Linked DNA regions of Alligator mississippiensis. The protein of the gene in region 2 interacts with the protein of the main gene of each other region in a pairwise test. Links are inferred from orthologs where the notes say so. Each region holds a gene or a part of one and is shown on either strand. Other genes may lie near its edges.

Region 1 (6,837 bases), on a different chromosome or scaffold from region 2:
GCCTGCCACAAACAGAGGCTACACATCTCACAACAAGCTGACCACCCCTGCTCTAGTGCACTGAGCCCCAGACTAGGTTTCAGGAGACGCCAGTTCTAGTCTAAGATCTGCCACAGGGCTACTGTGGACCATGGACAAGTCAGTTCCTGAATCTGTACTTGTTTCCCCCTCTATGCTTTACATGTCTTAACTTTTCAGACTGCCAGATCTTGGGGCTGGGACTGCCTACTGCCCAATAACAACTGGGCCCTGATCTCAGGTACTGCACACAGTATTTAGGAACAGGGAGTTTGTGCCACACATGCATCAGTTCTCGAAAATGGAGTACTATCTGCTGCTTGGCACCCAGAAAGGGGCCATCAGGACTCCTGGGCTCTGTTCCTAGCCCTCCCTCAGACTTCCTTTATGAGCTTGAACAAGACAATTCTCCATGCCTCAGTTTCCCCAACGACAGGTGGGGAACAGCACTTTAGGCAGCCACCCCCATCCATGCGCTTCCATGAAATGTTAACCCTATTCCAGTGCCGCATGGTGGCAGAAGATACTGCCCGCTGCTCAGAAGTGCCACACTGCAGCTCAGAGGCTCATCTTCTACCTTAGCGGTGGATTCGTGTTCATGAACATCTCGATGGCTCTCTCATCCTCAGGGTTCACTGTCACCTCTTCACAATACTCCTCCTTCTCCATGGATGTGGCTTTCTCCAGTGTGGGCCACTCGTCATCGTCCTCTGCATCGGAATCCCCATCGCGAGATGCAGATCCTAAACCAAACAAGGCACGGTTAGGCTTGGACAAATTGGAAAACTAAGCACCTCTGTGCTGTACCAGTTAGCTCTCCATACCATAGTCTCTCATCACCTCTTCTATAGTGATGAGTAGTTTGAGAGGTCAATGTGAAGAAGTCCAATAGCCCAAGCGGATGGGCACCAGAGACTGCCAGGCCTTGGCTGAAGACACAGTGAGGACTGCCACCCACATTTGATTAAACAGAGCACATCTGAACCGCAACATCATTATTGAGAGAGACCCTGCCAATCTGAAGTTCTAATGATTTGAGTTATAAGCAGCTCCCAGTCCTACCTCTGCACCCGCGTTCCCCCTGCTTTTCTTGTAGCTTTGCAATAGCACTGCCCTATTTTTAAACACTTTTTTTACCCCCCAAACCTTGTTTGAGGATGGATGCCCACAGACACAGGGAAAGCTGCCTCAGGGGCTGAGCTTACAGGTCCATGCATTCACACACACCTTTGACATCACACATGAGAGCAGTCCCATCAACTTTAATATACAAGATATAATATTTCTCTTTGGTCTTTCAGTTAGCTTAGATGTTCCAGGTAACAGCAAATAAAAGGTTTTCAGATTTCCCATGTCCGAGGATTACTTTAGGTTGACAGGTGCTGCTCTGAGCAGGGGCCTGGATTAGATGACCTCCTGAGGTCCCTTTCAACTTTAATGTTCTATGATTCTATACTTTTTAATGGCCACATATACATGAAGCAAGTTCCCAAGGTAGAATCTAAATAATTTCTTTCCAGTGCTCTTTGTCAGTATTTGCAGTGAACGTGGTTTGTCCCACAGCTACAGCATCCTGGCCTAGCAACGGCCCTAGTCCAAAACATCACTAGTATGACAGAAAGACATCCATTCAGCTCAATCTGCTAGGTTTGACCGCACAGCAATACCATCTACAGTGACAAAAACAGGCTGACGTGCTAGCTAAGCAGTAGCATGTATGCAGGCTGCTACAGAGCTTGGCTAGAAGGGAGTCTGACGTAGGGAACGATCTCTATTGTAGCAGGAGTACTGAGGGGTGTCCGGTCCATGTCTGACCTTCCCTACTCCCTGTTTATGTTATTAAAATGGAACATAAAACCACAGCTCACCCCTTTTGTCTTTAAGGAGCATACTTGATCAATCAATCCCAGTGGGAATTCATCCCATCCCTGCCCTAGGTCAGCTGCTGTTTATCAATAGACAGGAACAACCTACGGTGATTTAGGGCAGGGAGAATTTCACGTTCAAGGACCCAGGGAATAAAGCCAGGGACTGGACATCAAGAAGCAGGGATTCAGTCCTGACTTTCTTGCAGGACTTCTCTACTTCTGCAGTGTGCTGCTCGGAAGACAAGACCCACAGGGGGCTGAGACCTGCGTTTGTGGGAAGACTAAAATGTCTTTCCTGCCAGAGCAGAGCGGGCTGGACCCGATGATCCCACGAGGTCCCTTCCAGCCCTAAACGTCTCTGGAAGGTGATCAGACACTATAGGGAGAGAGCATGGATCAAAAGGGATGAGAAGGCAGGTGTGGGACAGCGCGGGGTGGTGTAGGGTTTGCCCTCCTCTCCCCTGGAAGGCAGAACCGTGCCCCTGCCAGCGCCACGACCTGCCCTCGGGGCTCAGGGTGGGGGGGATCGAAGGGGATCGGGTTGACATCTCTTCTCAGCTACTCCCCCGCCCCGCTCACCCAACACCGTGGTCTTCCTCGGCGGCTCGGCTCCCCGGCCCGGGCAGTGCTCGGCCTCCAGCTCCTCCTGCTGGATCCGCGCCTGCTCCAGGATCTTTCGCGACAGCTTCTCATCCACATACTCGTCCTCCGCCTCCGCGGCCGCGCCGCGCTTCTTCGTCCTCCGGCTGGGCCGCACCGCCTGGCCCTGCAGGATCTGCTCGGCCAGAGGCAGGCTCCGCACCGCCTCCCCCGGCCCCGCGCTCCCCTTGGCCCGCTTGGCCTTCGGCATGGCGATCCGCGCACACGTGGGCGGAGGGGAGCAACGCGGCGCGCAGGCGCGGATGGAACGTTGCGACTCTCAACGTTCCGACCATTGCGACAGGCGTGTCCGAACGTTCGCTCTTAAAGGCGCCGCCGCCCAATTTTTACTTTCTTTTCTTTTTTCATTCTTTTTTTTTTTTTTTTTTTACAAGGGGCAGACGGGGCTGATGTGTGTAGGCCAGAGCTGGGACGGGTGTGAGCTACTGAACCGCGTGTGAAGGGCAGCTGCTCGTCTGTCCGCTGCCCACGTGCCCCCGGATCAGCGGCGGAGGAACCCGCGCTTGCCCGCATCAGCAGCGGGTTGCCCCTGTCTCCTGCCCCCCCTCCATCCCCTCCCAGCGTCGTAGCTCGGCCTCCCCACCCACTTCTGGCCGCCTGACATCATTTCCTACTCGGCTTCCCACCCCTTCCAGCGGGAGAGGACGGGGCTGGGCTAGAAACTCCGCTTCCTGCTCGGGAGAGGCGGTCCCCGCGCCTGCAAAGAGGATCCCGAGTAGGCAGGGGCTGGCCGGGAGCGCTGGGCCCAGCATGGGGGTCACCTGGTAGGGCCCCGGATGTGTGCGGGCTGGGGGGAGGCTTGCAGGGAGCAAAGGGGCGAGGGCAGGTGAGATCCCCCCATGGGGGGAGGGGTGCAGGCTGAGCTGCCCCTCAATGCACAGGGGTCTGAAGATCCAGGCCCCACTCAGCACCCGCCTGCGGTACCACCACCGGGAGCAGGCGGTGAGGAGTGGGATGAGGCCCCTGGTGAGCAAGGGGCTGGGAGGTAGACAGGGTTGAGAGGAACTGACAAGAGATCAGGCTGGATCAAGCCAGGTCAGCGTCGCAGCTGCAAATACAGGGCTGTGATGGCACCAGGCGTCAGGGGCACGGAGGTGCCGCTGTATCAGAACAGAGACGCAGGGTCCCCTTGGCAAAAAGGCAAAATGGCCTTGGGGACAAAGTCGTGCTCTGGGTGTCTGCTGTTGTCACCGGAACAGGGCAGACGCCGGGTGCGAAGCAGTCCTGCCTGGCCGAGGCTTCTTCCTTGCGATGCTCGTCCTATGTTTATAGGGGCGGCAGGAATGGCATCGGGCTGTCGCTGTGGCACTTTGTGCAGGGCAAATAACCATTGTCTGTAGGGCTTTCTGGGTTGTGGAGAACAGCAGGGTTGACATGGAGTGGACTGAAAATGCCAGACGTGGGGCTTTTGGGTGTGCCTGCCTGCTCTTGGAAGCGAGGGTTTCTTCTGTGGACCTGTCTCTAACCTGAGACAGGACGTCTTTGTAAAAGACCCGCTATCTAGCTCAGGGCTTTGTACTCACGGAGCAGTCCATCCTCCATTTCTCTCGCAAGCTAGCAGTGCAGGTTTATCATCAAACGTTTCACTGGAAGCATGAGAAAAGTATGTGGGACCTAGCAGTGTGTGTGGCCCACCGGCAGACCCCATGCCAAGGCCTCACAGCCCCTAGTTTGGGAACTGCTGCTGTCGTTCAGCAAGGTAGAAGTTACCGGGTAAGGTTCTGTGACCTGTGTTGCATAAAAAGCCAGATTACATGATCACAGCGGTCCTTTTACAGCCTTTAGAGGTGTTTGTTACATTTGCTAGTCGTGTTTAGTACTGTAATGCTTCAGGCACAAACATGAACAAGGCACTGAGTAGCATCGTCCTTGCCCTGAGAAGCCGAGAGCAGCAGTTCTCATTCTTTTTAGACTCAAGGCATCCCTGGATAAATTAGAGGTGCCCGTTAGAAAGTGCCGCCTCTTAGTTTTCATTTCTTGAACATGGGAAAATAATAGAGCAGTTTTTCCAATGTAAAGCACTCAGAAAGCCCTCAGCCATGGAAGTCTGTTTGAAATCTTTGGGTTTGTATAACCAACTGTGCTAACATTATGTGGAAGGATCTCAGGGTACCCCAGGGTACCCTGGCACCCTGGTTGAGAATCACTAGTGTGAGCGGATAAGATAGATGAAAGTAATGCTGACAGTACCGTCCAAATGCTTTACAAAGCAAATGGTCATCACGTGTCGGCTTTTAATCTCTGTTCTAGATGCAAAACGCTGTTGTCTGGCTGTATTGCATTCTGCCTTGGTTAAGGTGTCTCGGTATCTATGGTTATTGACTCTTTTCTGTAACTCCTCTTCGATAGTGTATCTCAGATGCCAGTGGCAGAGGGGAAGAGTGTCCAACAGACGGTTGAAATCCTGACAAGGAAACTGGAGCTGCTCGGAGCAGAGAAACAAGGAACGTTTTGTGTCGACTGTGAGACCTACCACACAGCTGCCTCCACCATGGGCAACCAAGGTCAGCCTGTCGTTTCGCTATCTGAGTGAAATGCTTTGCAGAGAACCTTATATTGGCTGCAGTAGCTGGTAGCTCTGGTTGGGTTGAACTCTGCTCTCGTAATGAGTTAAATTATTGTCCTCTTATTGTTCTAGCTGGGAGTGCTAAAGCCAGCTCTGAGGCCTCTTCTTTCTCCTGTTTATACCTTTCTTCTCTCCAGTCGTCTCCCCAGCATGGTGCTACTGAACTGGATTGAACTAGCGGTAGGAAGGAAGAGCTGGTCAGACAAGCCCGGTCTATGCTGTATAATCTTGCTAGCGGGATTCAGTTCTACCTCCTGTAAGCATGCCCCCACTCAAAGCTGCTATGTGGAATCAAAATCTTTTTCTTTTGCCGGCAGAGTGAATTCATCTCTTGGGCAGACAGAAGGCTGCTATTTAACAGCTAACAAAGGCTTATATGGACAGGTCTGTACCACCTTCTGGCTGCTGTGGTCCCATTAGCATAGGGCTGAGCAAAATTGTGGATCCAGCTGGTGGCTGGACTCCATTACCCAGCAGCAGTGGCATCCTGACAGCGCGGGGCCAGGGTTTCCATGGAGACTGGCCCCAGCAGCGCTGGCAGAGCACATGGCTGGGCAGGGAGCTATTCCGGGGCTGGGATCTTTCAGCAGTGACAGCGTGGTCCAGAGCCAGGGCAGAGCCGCGATCTGCTGCCTGCACGCCCCTGCCCAGGGCATAAGGGCAGCAGGTCATAGTTTTGTCCCAGCCCTGGACCACGCTGTCGCTGGCTCAAGATCCTGGCCCCGGAGCAGCTCCCTACCCAGCCCCGCTCTCTGCCAGCGCTGCTGGGGCCAGTTTCCGTGGAAACCCTGGCCCCATGCTGTCACAGTCCTGCCCTGCCGGGGTCTCCATGGAAACTGGCTGCAGTGATGCAGGCAGGGGCTGCTGGGAAATGAAGTCTGCCGCAGGCTTGATCCACCAGACTTTGCCTGCCCCAGCTTTAGCAGCTATGTCCCCACAATGTGGGCCATTCTGATAGGGCTGATGGCATGGAGCTCTGCTTTCACTCTTGTGGCTGTTGACTCCTGGTAAAACTTTTGCCCTCCAGGTAGGAGAGAGACCTGAGGTCTGTTCTCTGACCTGGGTGTGATTCTGGGTGAGGTATGGTTAATCTTTGTGCCTCTGTGGTTTTTTCCCCCACTTCTAAAATGAAATAGCAATCCTGACCCACCTCATATGGGGTTGGAGGATTCAATTCCAGGTTGGAAACACTTTAGGAGCCTTAGAAGACAGGTGATTGTAAATGCATGGTATTGTTCACTTCTCTACAGAGTTGTTATTGCAGAGCTAGGGTGCCTCACACCTTCCAGAATGCATCTGTACTTAAACCTGGGAAAACCAGGAAATGCAGAGCTAAGGACATGTCTGCCGTGCCTCACAGCCTGTCTCTTCTGGCTGGCAAGACCTCCTGGGGTATACTGCAATTATGCTTCAGGCACAGCTGCTCTACAATAAGCAGATGCAGGGAATGTGTAAATGTGCCACATTATACTCTCCCGTTTATCTGCATGCATCACCCTTGCTCTCCCTTGGGCCAGGGACAGCTGTATTTGCTGCCACAGGGATGGCTTACAGCTGCATTGAGATCATAGACTTTTCCTTCTTGTGCTGAGAATCACGGAGGTGTGAAGTGACCTCATTCATCAAAACAAGTTCTTAAATAACTGGAGTTGAATACAACCTGGGCCGAGGTGTGAATTGATCCATTCATCACTGTTCTCCTTCTCCCTTCCACTGTCTGCCCCA
Region 2 (7,650 bases):
CCAGGGATTCTACCTTTTATTAAACCAATATTTGACACCAAACTCAGAGTGGAAGCCTGCCAGCCACTTTGAATGCATGCACTGTGGCTGTCAGGCTGCAGGCTCTGTGCTCCGATGGACGATTGTGTTTCTGGAAAGGATTTGACAGCAGTGCCTTTACATCTCTGGACAAATGAGCAAACACCGGGCTCTAATACGAGGAATAAACAACCCTCCCCTACCAGGGCCCCTGAGGCTCATGGAGTGCAAAGTATCCCTGCAGATGTCAAACTACCAGGAAGAGCAGCTGCTTAATAAAATGCTGATGGCAAGAAAGTGGAGACTGCTCGCTGTCCAAAAATGAATGGCAACACACCCCTTCACTGGGCTCCTGAGCATGGCCAAGGCAGGAGCCCCACCTGTTCTTCCTGAATCAGCTCTTGCCGTGGAATCCTGGTGCCCCCTGTTGGTCCAACAGCCCATTCACCACAAGCAAAGGAGCTTGGTCAGGATGCCAGCACAGGCTGCCTTTAGCAGAGAGAAGCAGAGCTGTTTTGTGCCACACAGGTGATTCTTACCTCTTCACAGCAAGATTGCTCTGTATTAATCCTCTGGCATGTCTTTTTCCTAGCCTGACCATGCAGGTGGCTGGAGTTACAGGCAATGATGCACACTACAGAAAGTCTCATGATAGCAGCAGTTCTCTTGTCACAAGGGCCAGACTACAGGTGACATGTGAGTTCCACCCGGTTCATGGCCTGATACAATCACATTGGTTAAATCCTTGATTTCCTCAGTGGTGAGCTCTGGCTACACTGATAAATCTTGCTGAAGTCAGTAGACTTGCACCTCTCCTTGGTGTTTTAGGGTTGTTAGTTGTTCACTTCATAAATCTACTGGATACAAAAAATCATGGACTAAATATAGGCAGACAAGGTTCTTTGGGTAAATCTGATGTCTTTTATTAGACCAACTCAGATAAAATAATCTAAGAAAAATAAATAATATAATAAATCTAATTTGTAAAAAAATAATTTGCATTTGAGGCCAAATTAGCCAAAACTAATTCCACATCCAAGAATCCGGAACCATAAACGGCCCTACTACCAGCAAACATTCTCCACCCATACCTGGGGCCTCAGATGTTTCCAGATCCTTTGGTGGGTGTCCTACTTGCAGGTCCAAGCCCGGAGGCTTGGGGTTCAGATGCTGCCGAGTTTTGCTTGCCCTTAGCCATAAGCCCCTCGGAGTAAGCAAGGGATGAGTCTCCCATTTCCATAAACTGGGCTTAAAGCCACTACATCTCAGTGGGTACTGAACCACGCCAGAAGAGCAGTTGCCCTGTGGGGTGGTTCAGGAAAACTGCCTTCTTGGACACAGATGCATGGTATTTCACCTGCCAGGTTAAGAAGCCACTGCACTTATCCTGAGCCCTCAAGAGGCCTGCACTTGATCTGAGCCTTTAGTACTCTAAAAAAAATCTAATAAAAATAGTCTAATAAAAGATACTAGATTTACCCAAAGAACCTTGTCTGCCTATGTCCTTAAACCAACGTGGCTACAACCTATATACCCTTGGACTAAATATAGACATTGGATTTATGGCACGTTATAACTTGGCTAACATTTGATAACCCCAGGTAACCTGTCTTCATTTTACCAGCTACATTCTATCACCAGTTCAACATTCCCCCTTTCCTCCCTGCCCCAAGCTGTCTCCTACCTATTGTCTCCCATTCCCTCTGATCCTCACTGCCACGCATTTGCATTTTCACAGACCTGCATTTTGCATTTTGGCTTCTCTTCTGTAGGCTGTTCCTGTACCATAGAGAGACCTGTAGGCTCTCTCTATGCCTGAAGAAGGGTGTTTGTGCCCAAAAGCTTGCAAAGAACAATTTTTCCAACTACCTAGTTAGCCAAATAAAAGATATCACATTTACCCAAAGAACCTTGTATCCTAGGTGTTACATTTGAAGGATTTTCCCTGTAAGCAAATGAGCCAAAATGTTTTCCTTCCTGAAGGACGCTGGAGCACAGTGATGTGCCTGCAGTACTCCAGCAAGACACAAACCCAACAGCTTCCAAACAGCTGGACAGTTCTGCCTTCTAGAAACAGGAAACGACAAAGCCCTGTAATTGCAGGCCCTCTTCCCGGCTGCAGTGAAGAATAATGCCACCCTCCCCCCCCCCCCCCCCCCCGGCCTGTCATTGCAGAATGAGTGTCTAGGCTCTGAAGCAGAGAAGCTATAATTTGGGCAGCTGGCTGGCTTCCAAATCTATAGCTTTTAAGCTTTCTGAACGACATAGTACAGGACGGTCTCCAGGGGGGCTTCCATCTGCTCCAACCCATTATCCCACTTCCTGGGGAACGGTAGCCAATTGAAACAGTTCTGCCTGCTCAGCAGGTATAGCAGGCTTCTCTTCCACCCTTCCCCCCACCCTCCTGCTCTCTGCACACAAAGGGTTGGAAGATTTCAACCCTTTCTCAGATTTCTTTCTCTTCCCGGTCTGCATGTCTGAGGTTTTAGATGGTTTCCGGGTTGTTGCTCTGCTGTTCATTTTTTGTCATCTAGTTTGTAATAAATTGTTTCACAAAAAAACCCCAGACTTCAGTGCTTCTCAGAGCCACCTTCTTCCCCCACCCTCTTAAAATTATCCACTCCCATGAGACCTACAAAATACTTGGTGGTGGCTCTGCACCTGGCATGCTGTGATTGCTGTGTTTCTTGTGCCTGCCTGCCTGTTTGCTGTATCCACCAGATTTTGGAAGCTCCATAGAGCAGGCACCATTTCTGTTACATTGGTACAGCACATTGCTGGGCAGTTAATGGACAGTTAACATTAACTGGTCTCTGGCAGTATGTATCATCAGAAGGACTAGAGTTTGTATGGACTGTGGTTATTGAACAAGCCCTTTCTCTTTTGGATAGGGGCGGTTTCTCCAGAATTAGGGTACATTAGTGAAGGATGATTTGATGGATGCTTATGTTGCAGAGGTAAGGGAGGGACGACTTATTTCTCTGGGGTAAAACAGGCTTATTTCACCACCAGTGGCAATTTCACTAAAAAGCTGAGTTTTGACCTGCCTACCTGGATGATGATTTCTGCATTAAACTTTTCTGTACCTGTTAGGTAGAAAATGAATCCTGATGCTGTGAGTCTTAGTTTGTGGCTGGTGACACAAGAAGCTGGTTGGTAAAAGGCACCATTTGGGTGCCAGGAGGCACTGAGTAGACTGGCTACCACTGGGCTTTACATAGCAATAGGTAGAACTGGTACAGCTTTGTGGGCAAGTGGCAGTGAGAAGATTGATTGGTACATGGAGTGGGTGAAGCTCAATATCGCATGGCATTGGATGGCATGCGTCAACGGGTTGCTGTGAGGTGGGGCCAGGAGCAGGTGGACCCTCAGTGGCAGGAGGCTCTGTGCAGGTAGAGCATTATGTGGCTCCGGGCGGTGTTCAGTGCTGAGTAGCGTGAGGAGCCCTTTGGCAAGCATGGCTGGGTGACTGAGAGAAGTCAGGGTACATTTGCACCTAACAGACTAACAAAGTCAGTGATGCATCGCCTTTTGTAAGTAGTGGCTGACTTCATCAGATGTTGGGAAGGGACTGCAGGAAGCAGAGCTTCCAACTAGAAAGCAGCTGTTGGCATACAAAGGGGAGGGGAGAGGAAACCCAATAGGAGGGGGCACTGCTGGCAGAGGCAAGCTGATGCATCTCTGATGTAGTAGTCTACAAGGTGCATCTCTACCTTGCCTTTTGCCTGACTTCAGATTAACACGGCTAGTTACCTCCCTCTGCTCATGGGTGATTGGGCCAGTGTGTGGGTGCTTAATGTTAGAACGGGTGGGGCGGCACTCGCCATCTCAGAGGCCTGAGTGCTTGTTGTTGTCAGGGGCCTGGCATCAGCAGGAGGCAGGGAGAGAGGCGCAGTGCCCCTGTCCTGGAAGAGCAGGCACCTCTGGCGGGAGGCAGCATAGGGCCCAGTATCAAATACACCAGGGTGGCACTGGGAGCAGGTAGCGAGCGCAGGGGCTTGTGCACGGGGCTGGGGGTGCAGGGCACATCCCTGGCTGTGGCTGGCACTGCCTGGGTACACAGAGAGTAACCCTGGATCACGATCCTGGCTCCCTAAGGGCCCTCCACAGGCCCCGGCCCCTGGAGGTGCGGGACGAGCAAAGCTGCCTCCACCCCTGGGGCTGTGCCAGCTGCCAGCATCAGCTACTCCCTTGCCAGCAGTGCAGCTCCTTCTGCGCATGCGGAGGAGGCGCGGAGGCCAGGGCAAAAACTGCTGCTCCCAGAATGCCGCTGGGAGGACGCATGCGCCGTGCAGCCGGCGACGCCATCTTGCAATCTGAGCCGCAATCGGGCAGCCTCAGTGGCAGCGGTAGCGGCTGCGGCAGCAGCGCTCTCCTCCTCCTCCTCCTCCTCCTCCGCGCCTGGGTCGGGGCGGCGGCGCCCGGGCCGCGTCTCCCCGCGGGGCTCGGCCGGGGCGGCAGCCTCCTGCTCTGAGCCGGGCGGGGGCAGATCGGGGGTCCCCGGGGCGGGGCCCGGGTGGTTTGGGGGCGGGGCCAAAGGGGTGGGGGCGGGGCTAGGGGGGCTGGCAAGAGGGGGTGTCTGGCCAGGCGGGGCATGGGGGAGCCCGTGTAGCCGTGGCCCAGGGGGGTGCATGGGGCTGGGGTGGCTGCGCATTGCCTGAGCCAGGGGAGCCCCTGGGGTCAGGCCTGGGGGATCCCCACTCCCAGGCCTTGCGGAGGCGCTGAGGGAGCAGTCGGGGCTGGAGAGCGTCTGCGCGCAGGTCTGGGCTGCAGCCGGGGGCCAGGCGCCGGCGAGGAGGATGCGGGACGCCTGCCGCATCTGCGCCCGGGAGCTGTGCGGCAATCAGAGGCGCTGGATCTTCCACCCGGCCTCCAAGCTCAACCTGCAGGTGCTGCTGTCCCACGTGCTGGGCAAGGAGCTGTGCCGCGATGGCAAGGCCGAGTTCGCCTGCAGCAAGTGCGCCTTCATGCTGGACCGCGTCTACCGCTTCGACACGGTCATCGCCCGCATCGAGGCGCTCTCCATCGAGCGCCTGCAGAAACTGCTGCTGGAGAAGGACCGCCTAAAGTTCTGCATTGCCAGCCTGTACCGGAGGAACAACGGCGAAGAGCTGAGCCCTGATGACAAAGTGGGGGATGGCACTGTGGACCTCTCGAGCCTGCCCGATGTCCGATACGCGGCCCTTCTGCAGGAGGACTTTGTCTATTCCGGGTTCGAGTGCTGGACGGAGCACGAGGAGCAGGCCTCAGAGTCACACAGCTGCCACGCTTCGGAGAGCGGGGCTAGCCGGCCCAGGCGATGCCGGGGCTGTGCTGCTCTGCGCGTTGCGGATTCTGACTACGAAGCCATTTGTAAAATCCCGCGAAAGGTGGCCAGGAGCATCTCTTGTGGGCCTTCTAGCAGGTGGTCTGCAAGCGTGTGCAATGAAGAGCCACCCATAGGCGAGCTTGGAGCCACTGAATCACCCAATGCCAAAGTACCTGCGGATGGAGACAGCATGGAGGAAGGGACTCCCGGGTCCTCCATTGAATCCTTGGACACCACTGTGGAGGTCGGCTCTTTGCAGCAGAAGGAGGAGGAAATGGACAAAGGTGGAAAAGGCAGTGGGAAGTGCGACTGTTGCTCCGATGATCGCACCACTCTAAACTCTTCATTAAATAGTAATAGGTTGGAGCTAGCTCTTAGCCTGATCAAAACCTGTGACTACAAGCCTGTTCAGAGTCCCAAAGGCAGTAGGTTACCTGTTCTAGTGAAATCCAAGCCCAGCCACGACACGATGGATGGAAGTCCTCATGCTGGTTTGGTGACGACTGGTTCTGGATTCCTGAACGCAGATGTGAAGTCCTTTTCCCGACCTCCTCTGGGCTTTCCCTTGGAGATGTCAGACCTGCAGGAGTTGTGGGAAGATCTCTGTGAGGAATATATGCCACTTCAGGTTCAGGTACAGGTTGATGAACAACACTGCAATTTAACAGAGGTCCTGCCATCTTGGCTGAGAGTCCAATCTGGATTCAGGTGTGCTGGGATAATACAGATAGCCAGTCCTATCTGAGCAAAAGGCTAGGAATGGGTAGCTAGGCCCTCCAACCGCTCTCCTTATACACACCTCGTCCCTGTTCTCTGACATTTCCATGGTATTCTTTTCCTGGTGTGTTTGAGAAATGAGCCCTCCATAGGTTTCTAGCATCTTGCCTCTTAAGTTTCCCTGAATCAAGGATACCAGCAAGGTTTGGCTGATATTTCCCCTTTTGTTTCTTGTTTCCAGCCAAGCAAACACCAGTTTAATTTCTCCTCATTACTTTCTAGGGAGTAAGTTTTGAATCTGTTAGTTTAAAGGGTGTAGTTTAAGCTGCCAAATGCTTCTTTAATAGCAGTTCAGTTTTTATTTGGCCTTTGTAAGTTATAAAGTTATAATTTGTAACTGATCTGTTCTGGAGTGGTAGGAACTGCTTTTTTTGCAGGCAGAGCTCCAAAATCGAATGCTCTTTGTCTCTCCCCAGTTTTCCCGATTTGCTCAGCCCTCAGGAATACCGTTATGCTGTTGGCAGTGAGGGTGTTGTCTTTGCAGATAGATTTGCTCCATTGGGTGACTTAAAGCTAGCATTCTTGGTAACTGATCCTTTAAAAAAGATTTAACAATCAGTAGCAGTCACTGCTGAGAGCCTGTGAGCTTTTGCAGGAATTTCAAACATTTTAACCATCTGCATAGATTCCAGGTAACATTTACCTCTGGATTTTGACTGCTTTTTTGCCTGGCTTTAAAATTCTTGCTAATATATGATCACAGGCCTGCACCTGTATTTCTTTTTTCACTTCTCTTACCACCCATTAAAGTCTTATGTCAGCTTTAATTCAGCAATATTTATGTCAGTCTAATTGTCTTGGCATTAGCAGGTTTAGTGCTGTCTAATTTTCCAGGTAGCCTCAGGGATTAGAAAGATACTTGTTTACTACAGAAGCAACTGTAGCTCTATTGGGTGATTGTTCTCCTTATGCAGTGAGTTGTGCTCATTCTTTTCCAAGCTCTGGCATTTTCCAGGGGTGTGTACTTTTTCCACAACAGCTTTTAGCATGAAAACGTGCTACGGAGGAAGCCAGACTGACGGAAGCTGACAAATTCCAAAGCATAGTCTGATGATCCATTTGTCACCGGTAATTGAAGATTTGCTGACACTACCTAGGGAACCTTAAAAAGTGAAGGGAAAATGCCATCATCTCTGTGTACCTTGTTGCCTGTTTTTTACCATTACAGACTGATATACCAAAATAGGGTCTTTCTTAACGCACAGGTTTTCCACCATTAGTTCGTATGGTGATTACATGACATTTCAGTTGTATCACGCATCTTAGCATCTTCATTGCGTCTCAGAATTACTTACAAAGGGTTTCTTCAAACCCCAGCCTCTGTCATGTGTTTGTCTTTCTGGTGAATCTTACGCTGAGTTTTTCATTTCCTGTTTCTTACCATGGCAACAAACCCAACACAGAATGATGTCTTCAGTGCTAAATCTGGCATAAATCGAAAGCACTCATTCCACTTTAACAGAAGGATTGGAGAGTCAGAGTTGCCAGTAAATAGGTCTCATATAAATCCCAGGCCTTGGCCTCACCTCTGTCCTTATTGCGTAATG
Region 3 (7,758 bases), on a different chromosome or scaffold from region 2:
TTGGAGTCTCACTTAACCATGCATCGCCCCAAGGGATCATATGGAAAGTACAGTGAATGTACTCTACCTTCTCCTGGAACTGGATGGCAACAGGCCAGGCAACCAAAATTTTTCCAAGCCCCATGTATCTGAACCCCCACTGAAGTCAACAGGGGGCTCTACATAAGAGTAATATACAATTTTAGGGGCAAATTTATTGGTAGTTCTTTAAAAGAAAGCAATTTTTAAATGAAATTAGGATTAGGGATAGCAATAAAGCCTGTTGTTCCATATGCTATTTTCAGCCTTGGAATGATTCCCTCTCCTCCTCGCCTCTCCCTCATCAGGTGGGGAGGGGTAAAAGTGTAAAAATCAGTTTCATTTGGACTGTCTATTCCAAATAAATCTTCCTGCTACTTATAAAACGTATGCTCGTTTTAAACAGATTTGCAAATCAGTTGTCTGCGATAGAAACATGCATCCACCTTCAACAATATATAAATCTAAACTAATTAAGACAGTGGTTGTCAACTAGGGGTAATCATACCCATAGAGGTACTTAAAAAGGTCATAGGGGATATGCAGAACCAATGTGGCTGATAAATGACACATGCGTGTAGCTGCAGCACAGCACGCAGGTGACCAGGAGCATATCCAGGTCAGGCTGGTAAGTCTGTTGCGAGGGAAGGGGGGGAAGGGGTACTGAAAACTGATTTTAATAAGGAATTTCGTTGCATCTTAGGTAGTAATAGGTATTCCAATAACCTGACATCTCCAATAATGTAAAGAAGAGTTATATAAAGGGTGCAATTTTTAATAGTAAACCACAGAGACAAAAGTTAGCCTAGATAAAAATTATATTATTCTAGGAAAGGGATCCTTCCCTGCCATATGGGTCAAGTTTGTAGAAGGTCATCTTAGTCTATTATTTATATGCTTATTTATTTTGCATAAAATAGGTAATACAAACTAAAACAAAAGTAAACATTAACAGGAGTTGAGGAACAGGACCAGGTAGGAGAAAAATGGTAATAATCACCAGCACCCTTAGAAAGCTCCTCGTTCATATAGATTACTCGATCCTTAATTCTGATAACCTTTGTCTGGAGACTGACTGCTAGAGAAGTTTTTTCTTGTTCCTTTTCCTTTTCTATGATCTACTTGGGGAAAAATTTACCTGGAGGAACAGAAGTAGGACACTGACAGCTAATCACATGTACACTTCCATTTCCACTGGCTCAACTACTACTATCAAAAATGATATTTTACCTAAAAGATTAATTACTAGTTCAAACTTCAATGCAAAGAAACCCAGAGTTAGGCTAGAAAAATGAGACTTCCAAGAACTAGCAAATTCACAAGCCTCCCCTGTTCTGTCAAAGAGATATGTATTAAAGATATGAAGCCTGAATGTTTGAATTGTCACTTTGCCTACAAATCCTCAGTGACAAAGTATCTTTAGAACTTCAGCTTCCTGCTAGATGACAAGCCTTCTTTTTGGGCAAAACCTTGCAATAGATGAGCAGGTTGACTGACTTCCAACTGACCTGCCCCGACCTATCTGCAGCTGAAGCCAAAATTTCCACTGGTATAGAAGACAAGAAGAAAATCCCTCAGAAGGGAGGAACCACTGATACCACAGTGCCTGGCCCACCATTTTCACGCTAGGGCATTCATGGGTGAGGAGCCATCAGCAACTGCATCTTCATCCACAACCCACTCAAGTTGTTGCTCTCCTCTCAAACACTGGGCACCCTCCTCCTCTCCCCTCTTGTCTTCTATATTCTGATTTCTCTCTCTTCCCACTCTACTTCCTGCGCATTCTTTCACAGCATCTGATGAAGTGAACTTGGGTTCAGGAAAGCTTGTGCTCTCTCTCATATTTTTTCTATACATGCACATACACATATCTACACACGTCTGTGTAGATATGTGCACGCATGTGTGTACACGTTTATACACACAGCAATCAGGGCTCGTGGTAGAGGTGATATCTTGTACTAGACCAAGATTTTTGCAAAAAAAATTGTCTTTAATTGCAAGCTTTCAGGCACAAACACCCTTCATCACCAGGCTTCGGACAGAGGATTATAAAAGTTTCTCCGATGCCTGATGAAGGGTGTTTGTGCCCAAAAGCTTGCAATTAAAGACAATTTTTTTTTGCACAAATCTTGTTGGTCTAATAAAAGATATTATCACCTCCGCCACCAGCTTGTTTTTTCCTTTAGACCCGATTGCTTTTTCCTCTAAACCAAACCAGCTATGGCTTGGATACCTATCTACCTACACACACGCACACTTATATGTATATATCTATACAAATACAAGTACATACCCACAAAATAAACCTTGCGATTACAGAGATTTATCTTGTGTGTACATACACATATAAATACAAGGGGGGGGGGAATGTGTGTGCGTGTACACACGCGCACACAACGTTACGCCGCTAGCGTAGGAGGCTGCGGCCCCCGCCCGACCCGGGACACAGCCGGGAGCGGAGCAGGGCTCTTGGTTGAGGAGCGGCCGCGCTGATCTCGGGCCTCCTGCCGGGCCGGGCTGGGGGCGCCGCCGCCGCCCAAGCAGCCCGTGACGCACCGCTCCACGGCACAGAGCTGCGGCCCGCGGGCGGGACGAGGGCAACAAAAAGCCGGATCCCAGAGAGCCAGCCAGACCACCCCCCTCCCCTCCGCCACGCAGCTCCGACACCGCAGCCTCCCCCGGCCCAGCAGGGAGGGGTTGAGGCGGAGGCAGCGGCCGGGGCCGCCAAGACTAGACGCGGCACCCCTGCCCGCCCCGCCCCGCCCCGCCCCCCGGCGGCCGCGGGGGAGCCGTTCTCAGGGCAAGGGGGGAGCCGCTCCCCCCCCTCGCCCGGGGGCAGAGGTCCGGGCGGGGCGGGGCGGCGCGCGCCGCTACTCACCGTCCGGGCGGCCCGGGGCGAACTGCTGCAGCAGCGACGTCAGCTGGGCCTGGCTCCGTCGCTATGAGGCTACCAGCTGCGGCTCAACGGCTGGCCCCGCCCACGGCGCCGCGCGCATGCGCTGTCCGCCGCCCCGTGACGCAGTGGGGAGTCTCGTACGCTGGGGGAAGCCCGCGGGGGGGCCCGGGGGAAGGGGTGTTGTCCCCTCCCGCCTTGTCCAGGGCCCCGCGCCTGTCGCGCAGCCTGGCGGGTCGGTGTCCGATGTGCCGCCCCGTCGTCTTCTGCTGGTGGCTCCTCTGCCCCCTGCCCTGTTTCCTCGCACCCGTCTCGCAGGCCGGCCTCGCCTTGCTAGGGCTGCTGCGCTGCCGGGAAAGGCGGAGGAAATCAGTCCCCTGCTTCTGCCTCAGGGTCTCCCGCGCCTACAGCCGAGCCGCGCAGACCTGCCCCTGGGACACCCCCGGGGGTAGACCCAGCGCCGCCCCCGTGTCCCGTGTGGATGGGGCCAGGCTGGTCTCGGTGCTGGCAGACGACAGGACAAGGTCTCCGGTTGCATCCAGGGAGCTCTACGTTGGATATTAGGAAACAGTTTTTTCCTAGCAGGGCGGAGAAGCGCTGGAGCAGGCTCCTAGAGAGGTGGTGGGCTCCTCATCCTTGGAGGTTTTTAAACCCAGGATGGATAAAGCTTTGGCTGGGATGATCTAGCTGGGGACGGTCCTGTTCTGAGCAGGGGGTTGGACTAGGCCTCCTGAGGTCCCTTCCAACCCGGATTTTATACCATCTGTTTTGGAGACAGTACCATAGCCAGGACGTTTGGTGCCCAGGGCAAGCCCGCAGCAGCAGCCTGCCCTCACCCACCACGCAGATCCGGGGGCGCCACCCCCCATGCTTGTCCAGGAGTGCATGCAGCTGCAGGAGCTGCCCTCCCCCATCCCTGTGCCCCCCCAAATGAGCCGCTCACGGCTCCATCCTGTGCCCCGCCCTTCACTTTGGCACCCAGAACAGTTGCTCCACTCAAACCACCCGCCTTGCTATGGTACTGTTTGGCAAGGATGCTCCCCGGAGATCTCAGTGCAGCCTGCCCTCTTTGGGTATTTACACATGTGCAAGGTGGCTACTCTGATATGCCGTAAATGCAGGGCGTGGCAGCAAACTCGATTAATCTGCTGGAGTGCAGAAATTAACATGCTCCAGCAGCCTTCAGGATTGCTAGGGTTTGAATTACACTCTGACTCTTGGGGGGGTCTGCGGTGGTTGCAGCCAGAAACCAGAAGGAGTCGCCGCCGGAGCTGCTTAAAAAGAAGCAGGGTGGGCCGGGACCTCCCAGAACATGTCTATAAATGCCCTTTGTTTCTAGACACATGAATGAGACTTGAAACACATGTTGTTTTGATCACTGTTGCTCTTCGATACTGCACTACCCACTGCTTTTTGAAGTGTTGTGTTGCCTTTCCTAATTAAGATTTGTCATAGAGCAGTAGCGCTGGAAGGAACCTCCAGAAGTCATCTAGTGCTAGTGCTGAGGCAGGACCATCCCTATGCAAACCCATACTCCAACCTCTTAGAAAAACTACGGTTGACCCTGAGACAATGCAAGACATAACAAGCTCACCTGCCACATGCAAAGCAGGGGGACCACAGTGGCCAAAACCCTGCTTGTGGAAAAGGTTAATATACACTCAAGAGGTCCCTGGTAGAGGGCCACACCCCCCTTCAGAGGAAGGCAACCCACCCACCCAGTCATCACCAGTCTGATCGTGGAATCAAATTCCTTCTTGACCCCAAATATGGCCATTGGTCTGACCCTGAGCAGAGGGGCAAGACCGTCTATCCAGGACCCTGTAAGTCCAGCAGGAGCACTGGCATACCCCAGTCAAAATCCCTAGCCTTGGCTATAACCAACTCTGTGCCAATAAGGGAAAACCAATCCAATCTCTCTAAGGGAGGCTTCCTACATGTAAGGAACTCTGACATGTAACAGGTTATTGATACAAGTGATGTAACCAAAAACCAAACACTGCTGAGCCTCTCTAGAAACAGTCATTCAAACGTGTTTTCCCCATTGCAAGTGCATACATGCATTTTGAGATATCAGACAATTTTGAATCTAGTTATTGGTGTTCTGTATTTGGATCTTTTTTTTTTTTTTTTTTTAATGTGCAGGGTGGGGGATGGCACTTTCATTAGAGTGGCTTTGAGAGCCGCACAAATTAAGGTGCTGCAATGTCTCCTGTATCAGCATCCCCACTTTTAAAAAGTGGCAGGGCCACTGTAGCTAAAGCTCATTCGATGAGCTATAGTTCAAGTGCTCCCACCACCATTTTTAAGTGTGGGGATGCTGATACATGAGTTGCAAGAGACCACTAGAGCATAGCAATTGCCAAGCATTGAGTCCGCTCTAATGCGCAGTGCATCCGATGCATTGGAGCAGCCTCCGTGCTTGTGTATAGGCACCCCAAGTGTTAGGCCATAACAATGTAAGTGACTTAGAGTCTACAGATTTTCATTACTGTAACTGCAGCTCCTATAGGTAACCCAAGCTAATATTAAGTTTAGCTAGTTAATGAACAACTAGCAGTATAATCCATGAAAGCATGATACACTGTGCAAGCTAGCTTCTCAGGTGAGTTTTGTAGTCAGTGTGTCATGCTGTCCTAGCTATTACCTAAGCTATCTATTATAAAGCTAACTTTGTCAGTAATTCTCAACAAGGGTACCCCGAGGTGTCCCCAGATCTTTTGAAGGGTGCCATGAGGTGTGGGGAGATAAGCAGATAAGCACAGGTTCAGATTTGTCCCTACCTGGCCAGTCCTCCACCACTACTGCCCAGTCCCTCTGCAAGGAAGGAAATACTGCACTATATAAATTAGCTTTTAAAATGGAAATACCATATGGAGGGGTGTTTTGAGTCCAGTGAGGGGTGCCTTCTCTTCAAAAAGGTTGAGAACCACTACTTTATGTATAACTGGAGTGCAGTTAGAAGTGAATGCACTTGACATACTCTTGAGCATATTACATCAATGCTATTACCGTCATCAGTTAAACTTGCAATCTCATCAGAACAGAATATCCGATGAATTTTACAGGATCCATTTCCCATAAATTCAGGTTGACTGGCAGCCATTGTATTATCCTCCCTTAATTATTTATGAATTGCATTCCATACTAACAGTGCCATTATTTTGTCTGGATCAAAGCCAGGCTGACAAGTTTATAATGGCTTGTCCCATTTAATCCTTTAAAAAATGTTGGCACAACATTAGCTTTATAGAAAGGGCTTCATTTGCTATTTTTGCTGCTGTCATGCAATCACGAGTAGAGTTTGAATATTCCCCAGCCCATCTGAGTCCACTTATGTGGACCAAAAGTTCCCCAGTGAGGCTTTTCTGGGCTGGTTTTGATTGTCCGCTCTTGAGTCCTCTGTCTCTGGCAGACACTAAGATAAGTCTGGAACAGCACTGGGGGACAAACCTTCTGAGCATTGTGTGCGGGCTGGGAGCAGTCCGAGGCTTTCAGGGGCGCGCGGCGGACTGTGGCCAGCAGCCCTGGCACGTGGGTTGGGGAATTCGGCACGGCGGACTAGAATTAGGCACGGATGTGTAGCGGTTGATTAAAGATTATTTTACTTACACTGTAGATGGTCGCGGTGCAGGCAGGAAAAACTTCGCTTAAGTTGCAGTTACAAATGAAAAGAAAACTCGCTCGAACAAGACCCGTAGAAAACTTGAGCCTCTTAAACCCGGAAAGAGCTCTGGATACACACACACGAAGTTTGCTAGGCTCCGTGGACCAAAAGCGCACAGGGAAGGGTACGTCGAGGGATTAGGCGGCGACAGGGAGAGGCTAGAGGTTGATCAGGCCCCTGTATTCTCCTCTAAGGCACACGCGGGGTTTGTTAAGCTCCACAGCACTTAGAGTTCTCCACGAGATGGATGTGGAGTCCTCCTAAATGAGGTCCTCCCTGGAGATCTCCAACTTAGGCGGAAACCGCTCAAGCCTCTTATACGGCTAGCAAGCCAATTGCTAGCCGCCATGTGGGAATAATTTAGAAACAGCCAATAGTGGGACACAAATTTGCATGCGAATGGCGGGAACTCCTTTGCACCAGGGTTTTCTCTATGCAACTGAGAATTGCACCATGCAAAGAAAGCTCCTCGTGGCAGGAAATAATTCTGCAGTGCCGAAGCACACACAAAATCATACCCTTGGGTCATGACACATAGTAGCACATCAGTGGATTGGAGTGGGGCAAGCTCACCCCTGCCTTTCTTGGGGCTCCCTGCTGATGTGGTGTAGATAATTTATATATATTTATAGATGGTTTAGAATTTCCTTATTTCTACTGAACTTTAAGGAAAGCACTTGTTAATTTTATTTATCATTTTCAGAATCATTAATATTGTCATCTGAAGACTTATTTAATAGGACAGCTGCCCACTTCATGGCTCTCTTGGTGAGCTTGGTGTGTAAGCATAATTAGTTGCTTAACAGAAGGGAAGTAAAAGAGTAAAAAACTTTGGGAATGGGAGAGAAAGGGACATGCTGCTGAGTATGGAGGGAAAGGGAGGGGGAATAATTCTTGATTTGGGAACTTTAAAAAGTCTCTAGCTGCTGCTCTCATGGCATGGTCCAAAAGGGGGACGGGTATAACCTCACCACTGCACTGATCTGCCCCTGGATTCACACTAGCATGAGTCCATCATTGGTCAGTGAATTGTAGAGCTGTGACCTAAATTAATGTGGGAGACAAAAGGAGTACGTATAATAACCACACAAGACAGAGAAAGGGAGAGGTAGTGTACTGATTGCAATAATACCACTTAATTACTCAGAGCAAACATAGACATTATCAATTTTGTGCA
Region 4 (7,757 bases), on a different chromosome or scaffold from region 2:
GGCAGGCACGCAGGCAACTCCAGGCCCCAGGGCACCACCAGACCAACTCCACGCCCCCCTCGCTGGGGCATGAACATGCACACACTGCCCCCTGCTGGCCAGACAGGGCGCATACCCCACCCTCCCACCCATGGCTGCCAGAGGGCTGAGAGACAGTGATCAGCAGGGAGCCTGATTTTCTCTGATAAAAAAAAAAAAAAAATCCTTATTTTTCAGATATAAAAAAGTAATCCAAAATCCACACTTTTTCCATGATTAAAATGAAACACCACTATATATATCTATATCTATATATTAATGGAGTTTCATTTTAATCACAGAAAAATGTGGACTTGGGGTTACTATTTTTAACTGAAAATTGGGGAGTTTTTTTAATCACAGAAAACCAGGATCCCTAGTGATCAGGAGTCCCTCAGCCAAAAAAACTCCCCAGCGTTGCAGATGCCCATCCAAGCTGAGCGGCAGCCCCTGCTGGCTCAGCCTCTGAGCACATAGGGATGTATCTGCACCCTCAGGCCTTGCTGAGCTGTGCCCTTCACTGCCGCTCTCTAAGCCCATCTGTACTAACCCAGGAGCTGCATGGAAGCAGCGGGCTGGATCCTGCCGGAGACACAGTGCCTGGGATCGGGCATGGTTCAGGACCCTACCAGTGCAGGCAGGGCCCAAAGGGTCCCCAGGGCACTACTAGGAGGTCGCTATGAAAATAAAAGGGAAGGAAACCCTAGTTATTTCCTCCAGGTTTTATTAGAGATCCAGGGATGAGTACATGGCAAGAGGGGCTGGTTACAAGCACGGGCACCAGAGCTCGGCTGGGCCCCTGTTCACTGAGGAGGGTCCCCAACCCCAGCGTGAAGGTGAAGGAGACGGGGGAGGGGGGGGTGTGTCTCACCCCTGAAGGAGCCCAAGAGATATGTTCTATGCACCCTACTCCCCTCCTGACACTGCTGCCTGCTGTGGTGATCACGTACCCCCCTGACCAAGAAACCTTCATCCGTGACCCTTAGCAGGTCAGATTGGGGTCTCCCTGCCCTTGGTCCTGGTGCCAGTCAGCAGAATCCAGTAAGGGACCCTCTGACAGCAAACTGGTGGAAAGTGATGAAGAAGTTCAAGTTCAGGCCCTGGCCCTTTCTCCTAATGCCAGGCAGCTCATGAGTGGGGAGGGAGATGGGTGTCAACAGACCTGCTGTGGAGGGCCAGAGTGGGCCGGCAACGGGCACTGGTCCAGCTCCCACTGGCCTAGTGCCTGGTAGAGACCAGGGGCCGGGAGGCTGGGGACCAGGGCTGGGGGACATCAGCAGGGGGTGCTGACAGGGGACCGGGCATCAGGTCTCCTCAGCTGAGACCCAGCAGGTGAGGGGGCTGGAGGGCAGTGTGGAACTTGGCACTGCCCCCTCTTGCCTGGTGAGGGGAGAGTGGGGCAGGTGGGGCGAGAACATAGGGAGCCCCAGCAGGGATAGGGCAGGGGGTCTGGCGGGTAGAATCTGCCCACAGGGCTGAGACAGGGCAGGAAAGGCCACGTGGGAACAAAGCAGCATTGTGAAAGCCCTTCACATGTGTGTCACGCTCACCAAGACCCGTGCATCAGGATGAAGGTGGGGGGGAGGGTTTGGCCCTCCAACCAGCTCCTCCGAAGGCTGCAGGCGCCACCAGTGCCATGGCCCAGTAGTCCAAAGCCACAAGGATCCGGGGAAGTCAGAGCTTGAAGATCTCATCCTCCTCATCCCGCAGCACAGTAGCCCGCAGCGTCTTGGTGAGCGGCACTGGGCCCAGCAGAGAGCGCTGCTGGGTGCGGGGCGAGGGCTCGTTCCGCCCAGGGACCGTCCTACCAGCTCCCGCCTCGGCCCCGGACATGCTGGAGGGGGGGAGGAGAGGCAGTCAGAGCTCCCCATGCCTTCTGTTGGCTCTTCTCTGCCCCCCACGCCCACATCTCTCTTCTTGCACCCCCGCCAGCTCCAACCACTGCCCCATGCTGCCAGTTGGGAGAGAACCTCCCTGCCCCAGAAAGCATGGCTGAGGTTCAACCAGCTGCCTTGATCAGGAAGGGCAAGGCTCTCTGATGCACTACAAACCTCTGCCTGGGTCCCAATGTCCCTGCCTGCTACGATCCCCTATTAGTGCCCCCAGACCCCATAGATAGCTACATCCCCCCACTGCAAGTCTCCCTGGAAAACCATGCGGCCATAGCAACACAACAGGATCTCCTAGGCAATGGGGGGGCAGAATGGGGACCGCTGCAGTCTCAGCTGGGGCGTCTCACCGCATGTCACACAAGAAAAAGGGAGGGGATGTCGTGTTTCTGCTCTGCCCCACACAGATACCCCTCGAGGGCAAGAGCAAGGTGCAACCCCAGCCCCCTGGGGTGCAGGCCCCGCCCCCTCATTTTTAGTTTCTGATGTTATCAATAAATATCATCACCCCACACTTCCCATCTCTGCCCCACACCCTCTGTGTGGCTTGGGCTGGGCTAGCCCTAGAACTAGAGCCCCCTGGAGGGGAGTGGGAGTCCCGTATACTCAGGCACCAGGGGAAATGCCCTCCTGGGTACTTCTCTGAGGTGGCTTTAATTCCTCCTGCCCCATGGAGCGGTCCAGGAACCCCCACCCCGTGCAGGAGGCAAAGAAAGAGTCTCTTAAAGCCTAGCCAGCAGGTGGTAGGTTCGATCCCCAGCTGAGACAGCAACGCGAGAGCGGCACTCACGCGATCTTCCCTTCCCGCAGCTTCTTGGCTGCGGCCTCCTTGGACAGGCTGATCTGCGAGTCCAGCTGGCGCAGGAAATCCATGGCTGATAAATCGTGGCGGAGGCCAGAACCAGCCCTGGCTCCATCCCCATCCCGGGGCTGTGACTCCGGCTGCTCCTCACCCTCAGGGGGCTGCCTGGCTCCTTCCCCCTCCTGCAGGATCAAGCCTTTTGCCCGCACCTGGACCGGGATGTACAGTGTCCGCTTGAGGAAGATGGAGTCGTTGGTGTAGAGCCGGTTGGCGCGCTTGATTTGCTCTATCTGCGAAGAAGCACATGCAGGGTTAAGCTCCCATCAGGCGCCTGCCCCATCCCACTACACCCTGCTGCCAAAATGCAACCACTTCTGGGGCTGAGCACACCCATGAACCCAGCCAGCCCTGTGGGATCCAGCAGAAGGAGAGGGCAGGGGGAAGGATGTGGGAGTTCACTGAGAGCGCGAAACTTGGACCATGACCAGCTGCATGCAGATGGCAGCACTGTTGTCAGTGGTCCCAGTCGGGCTGGGGGCGAGGTTTCCACTCCCCTGCTGGAGCCCCAAACCAGGCTGGCACAGAGACTGGGATACAAAGCACCCCAGAAACCCAGGGGCAGTGGCAGGAGCAGTCCAGCAGGGGGCAGCACATGTGGGGCAGGACCCTGCCAGAGCTGCCCAAGCTGGAGGGCCTGGGGCTGGCCCAGGGCTATTTCAGATCCCATGAGTAAACAGAGTCACATGCCCACGGCCTGCCCAGACCTCCACCCCAAGCCAGCTGAGTCAGATGGGAAGGGAAAGTGATCCCTTGTGAGAGCCGTGTGAGGACCGGCACGCACAGAAAGTGCCAAAGGGGAAAGGAGAGGAGATACAGAGGGAGAGTGTGTGAACACAAGTGTGTAGGCGTGCGGGAACATGCGCACGTGTGGGTTGACAACACATGTGTGTCCACACAATCAGGACCAGGGGATGCATCAGGAAGAGCATCTCCTGCATTCGTGTGTAGGAACGAGCCACCCCATATACATGCGCTCCCCCCACACGCAGAGCGAGGTCGACGAGGCACCTTTGCTATAGGGAAACTGAGGCACAGAGCAGGGACGAGCCCTGCTCCAGGTCACAGGGACGCAGTTCACGGAGCAGCAAAGACGCAAGGAGACCTGATCCCCAGCAGGGCCCAAGACATCCCGGCGACAACACCCAGGAGTCCCGGCTCCGGGCCCTGGCACTAACCCCTCGGCCCCGCTGCCCTCCCAGCACCAGGAACCCAACCCAGGAGGCTCCCCGGGGCCTCACCGTGACCCCGTAGCGCAGCGCCAGCCCCGGCAGCGTGTCCCCCGGCGCCAGGCGATGCTCCAGCCGCCGCTCCCGCACCGGGGACGCCGCCGACGTGACCAGGCTGCCGTAGGAGCGCGCCCGGCCACCGTGAAGCAGCCCCGCCGCCCCGGGGGACCCCGGCCTGGCCGGTGGGGAGGCCATGCTGGGGCAGGACCCGGGGGGCAGGTGCCAAAGGGGGTCACAGCCCCGGCCTGCACCTGCCTCGCGCAGGGCAGCTCATGCCAGGGCCCCTGCCAGGGGGAGCAATGCTCCCAGCCCCTCTAGTGCCCCCACCCCTGCCCCATGCCCCCCTGCCCCCTTTCTAGTGCCCCCACCCCTACCCCATGCCCCTCTGCCCCCTTTCTAGTGCCCCCACCCCTGCCTCAATACCCCCTTTCTAGTGTCCCCTACCTAATGCCCCCACCCCTGTCCCCTTTCTAGTGCCCACACCCCTGCCTCAACGCCCGCTACCTAATGCCCCCCACCCCTGCCCCAGAGAGCGCAACGCTCGCAGCCTCGCAGAGCAGAAGAGCGGAGAGCAGAGCCACACACGCAAAGCCCTCTGGGACACGTAGTCCTCCTCCCCCTCACAAAATGGCCGCCCCCAGAGGGGCGGGGTGAGGGCGCTAGGACTCCATTTCCCGGCGTGACTCGGGCGCCGCCTGCGGGTCCCAGGTTGGCGCGGGCGAGCGCGAGGCAGGCCGGGAGCTGCAGTCCCCGCCGCGAGGCAGGCCGGGAGGCGCCGGCCCGGAAGTGGGGGCCGAAGCGGAAGAGGGCCGGTCTGCCCGGTCTACGGTGGCTGCGCGGGTTCAGCAGCGCGGAGCGGAGTCGCGGCCGGGGCGACATGGCTTTCAAGCGCGAGGGCGACGATGTCAGCCAGCTCCGTGTGCTGCAGGTGGGCGGGGCCTGGGGTGACCCCGGCCCCTCCCCACCCCTGCCCAAAGACCCCCGCACTCCCCTCTCCCATCCCCGCCGCCCAACGGACCCCCCCAGCCCCTCCCCTAGCCCTGCCATGGGACACCACCAGTTCCTTTCCACCCCTCCATGCTGCTGAGGGACCCCCCCCCGAGCCCCACCCCAAAGACCCTGCTCATTCACCCCCCCAGGCCCCCCCACCTAGGCCTGCCCCTCCCCCCCCAGCACACCCTGCCCCCCCAGGGTCTGTGGGGCTGGGGGCAGTTCGTTGCTCCTCCCTCCCGGGGGTCTTTGCTCCCTTGGGATGGGGGGCTCGTGAGGCCGATGGCAGAGGTGAGGGGGACCCACCGCCGCGTCACAGAGCCCCCTGGGCCTTGGGCTGTCATTGCCCCTCCAGAGACTGCCTGGACTGCGCCCAGGTCTGGGAGCCGGGGCCGGGAACACGGTGGTCACAGGGGTCTTGTCCACGGTTGTTGCCTCCTCCCCGTGTCCAGCTGCCTCCCTGCCCTGTGCTGCAGCATCCCCTGGGCCCAGACCGTCGCTCCCGTGACACCAGTCACTTCTGTGCTCGAGAGAGGAGCGGTCCAGCGCATTGGGCCTTAGCTTCATTCAGGCCTGTCAGGCCCCCTCCTCATTAGGGGTTTCTTGCAGAAAAGGAGAGTGTCCGACCTGCTGGCCAACTACATCCCGGAGGACGAGGCGCTGCTGCTGAGGACTGGCAGGTGGGTCAGGGCCGGAGCAGCCCCAGGGCCGGCAGAGGAACCCAGCCACAGCCCCACTGGGGCCAGGCCGCCAGCCTGTGCTGCTGTTCGGCTGCTTGTCTGGGTCGGGCTGCACAATTAGGGTAGGTCTCAGCCTCGTTAGACCCCAGGCCCCTCTCGGAAAGTCCCAGGAAGTCTTGGTTTATCCCAGGAGGCCACGAAGTCAGTGCTTCTGGGCTTGCTCCGGGAGAGGCACTTCTCTCTGCAGTCTCAGTTTCCCCCAGCTTTTAATTGAGGGTAACGAGACTGTGCGGGAGGGAGCCTGATCCGTCAGTCCTGTAGTGAGGGGTTAGGACACCAAGTTCTCTTCCCTCTGCGGTCGCTGAGCCCCTGCCTTTTCCTCCCAGGTAAAGACAAGGGTGGGACGGAGCGAGTCCCATGGGCTGTGCTGCATTGGGGAGCTGGCCGTGGTTATGGGTATGAATGCCCCAGAAAGGAGCCTGGCATGTCTCCCCACATGGACCCATGTCTCCTGCCCACTCTGACCCTGTCTCCCCCACAGGTACGCATGCACCGTGTGCTTCCACCGCCCTGTCTTCGACACACTGGACATGCTGACTGTGCATCGCGCCGGCAAGAAGCACGTTGCCAGTAAGGCAATGCTTGGGGGCACTGAGCCTGGGGGCACCGGGCCAGGAGGGCCCTGCCAGGGCAGCAGCCCCAGCCTATTTCATTACCAAATCCCTTATAAACCCGCTAGGCTCCACTGGTTCCGCTGACCCGGTCGAGATAGCAGAACGCCAGGCCAGATTTCCTGGGCGTTGGCAGGTCGGGCAGTAGCCATCGGGGTTGGGGTAAGGTCAGGTCCTGCTGGGGGCAGGGGCTGGATTAGACCAAGGGTTTCAAACTCTCTTGGCCCATGGGCCAAATCAGGGGCTCCTCTGAGAACCACACTGATGCAGCTTATCCACTGCTCCAGCCTCATATCACAGCCGTGGTCTGCACCCCTGAATCCCCAGCCCTTCTGGGAGCCCCACAGGCCAGATGACCCAGCTCCACAGCCTGGGTCTGACCCACAGGCCATATGTTTGGCACCTCTGGATTAAACCGCTCCTGGCTGCCTGCCCTGCTGTTCTCTGCCTCTGACAGCAGAGCCCTCCTAGCACCTCCACAGCCCCAGGGCTCCCACAGGCATTTCATCAGGGCCAGCCCTCATGCAGACTGCCATGTGCCATCCAGAGAGCCCAGCATGTCAGAACTGCCTTGTCCAATTGCTTCAGCTCGAGACCCCCCCATGCTGGCCCTGGTCTGTGCCCCCACCGTGAGCCTCCAGCTGGGTTGAGCTGGGCTCTGCTCACCCAGGCCCCTGCCTCCCCCTGTCTCTAGGCCTGCAGACCTTCTACGGGAGGAAGCACTCACGGGAGAATGAGTTACAGAAGTGGCAGCAGCAGGAATTCCTGCGGGCAGAGGAGACGGGCACACAGGTAAGCCCCACACGTGGCCCTGCCTCCCCCCCCCCACCAGTGACCCCAGCCCCACCCTCACCCTGTCTGTGTTCTCTGCAGGTCCTCCCATGCCCTGCACCCCTGCTGACTCAGACTCGCGCCATCACCCAGAGCGCCCTGCTGAAAGCCACTCCCTACAGCAGCTGCTGCCGGAGGAACAGGTAGGGCTGGGGGATATGTGCCATGGGCGGGAGGCTGCGGGGAGACCTGCTCCCAGCCTGGACAAGGCAGCTGCTTCTGGGAAGCACCACCAGCTATCCCATTACCTCCTAGTAAGGGTGCTGTTACACCGCCTGCTCTAGGGGCCCAGTCTTCAGGTGTGCTCTGCTGACTTATACCAGCTAAAGGTCACACATGAGAGAAACAGCGCAGGGAGGCTGCTGTCTCCCCCTGGCCTGCTTTGCATTAAGATGTCACCTGGGAGAAGGGAGTGAGATCCAAGGGTCACAGAGTAGGGCAGAAGGCCAGGTGTTGGGACTCCTGGGTTCTTTTGGCAGTGGGGTCCCCATAGGAGGAGTCGTGGCCATGAGATACTGCTGAACAAGGCCTTGTCTCCTCCTGTTCCAGGTGCGATGGAGGCCGTGTGGGAGCACAGCCGGGGCCTGGCC

The links.
Region 1: the proteins of myomegalin (region 2) and BYSL interact in binary tests that used the Homo sapiens proteins (3 or more experiments, as listed by UniProt). The two-hybrid records come from large-scale screens. The link is inferred for Alligator mississippiensis from reciprocal best matches to the Homo sapiens genes PDE4DIP and BYSL.
Region 3: the proteins of myomegalin (region 2) and SDCBP interact in binary tests that used the Homo sapiens proteins (3 or more experiments, as listed by UniProt). The two-hybrid records come from large-scale screens. The link is inferred for Alligator mississippiensis from reciprocal best matches to the Homo sapiens genes PDE4DIP and SDCBP.
Region 4: the proteins of myomegalin (region 2) and SCNM1 interact in binary tests that used the Homo sapiens proteins (3 or more experiments, as listed by UniProt). The two-hybrid records come from large-scale screens. The link is inferred for Alligator mississippiensis from reciprocal best matches to the Homo sapiens genes PDE4DIP and SCNM1.

Annotation. Positions count from the first base shown.
Region 1 is NC_081837.1:38,995,519-39,002,355, reverse strand, and holds the start of BYSL (bystin), read right to left. Parts: upstream 3,011-6,837; 5' UTR 2,737-3,010; coding exon 2,466-2,736; intron 762-2,465; coding exon 596-761; intron 1-595. Other genes in the region: MED20 (mediator of RNA polymerase II transcription subunit 20), read left to right, coding at 3,297-3,310, 4,896-5,050. UniProt on the Homo sapiens protein: Required for processing of 20S pre-rRNA precursor and biogenesis of 40S ribosomal subunits. May be required for trophinin-dependent regulation of cell adhesion during implantation of human embryos.
Region 2 is NC_081828.1:43,503,097-43,510,746, forward strand, and holds the start of myomegalin, read left to right. Parts: upstream 1-4,640; 5' UTR 4,641-4,817; coding exon 4,818-5,960; intron 5,961-7,650. UniProt on the Homo sapiens protein: Functions as an anchor sequestering components of the cAMP-dependent pathway to Golgi and/or centrosomes.
Region 3 is NC_081826.1:69,523,728-69,531,485, forward strand, and holds the start of SDCBP (syntenin-1), read right to left. Parts: upstream 3,009-7,758; 5' UTR 2,900-3,008; intron 1-2,899. UniProt on the Homo sapiens protein: Multifunctional adapter protein involved in diverse array of functions including trafficking of transmembrane proteins, neuro and immunomodulation, exosome biogenesis, and tumorigenesis.
Region 4 is NC_081838.1:20,118,000-20,125,756, reverse strand, and holds the start of SCNM1 (sodium channel modifier 1), read left to right. Parts: upstream 1-4,749; 5' UTR 4,750-4,872; coding exon 4,873-4,923; intron 4,924-5,594; coding exon 5,595-5,665; intron 5,666-6,206; coding exon 6,207-6,295; intron 6,296-7,030; coding exon 7,031-7,128; intron 7,129-7,209; coding exon 7,210-7,310; intron 7,311-7,716; coding exon 7,717-7,757. Other genes in the region: LYSMD1 (lysM and putative peptidoglycan-binding domain-containing protein 1), read right to left, coding at 1,693-1,852, 2,698-2,999, 4,008-4,190. UniProt on the Homo sapiens protein: As a component of the minor spliceosome, involved in the splicing of U12-type introns in pre-mRNAs. Plays a role in the regulation of primary cilia length and Hedgehog signaling.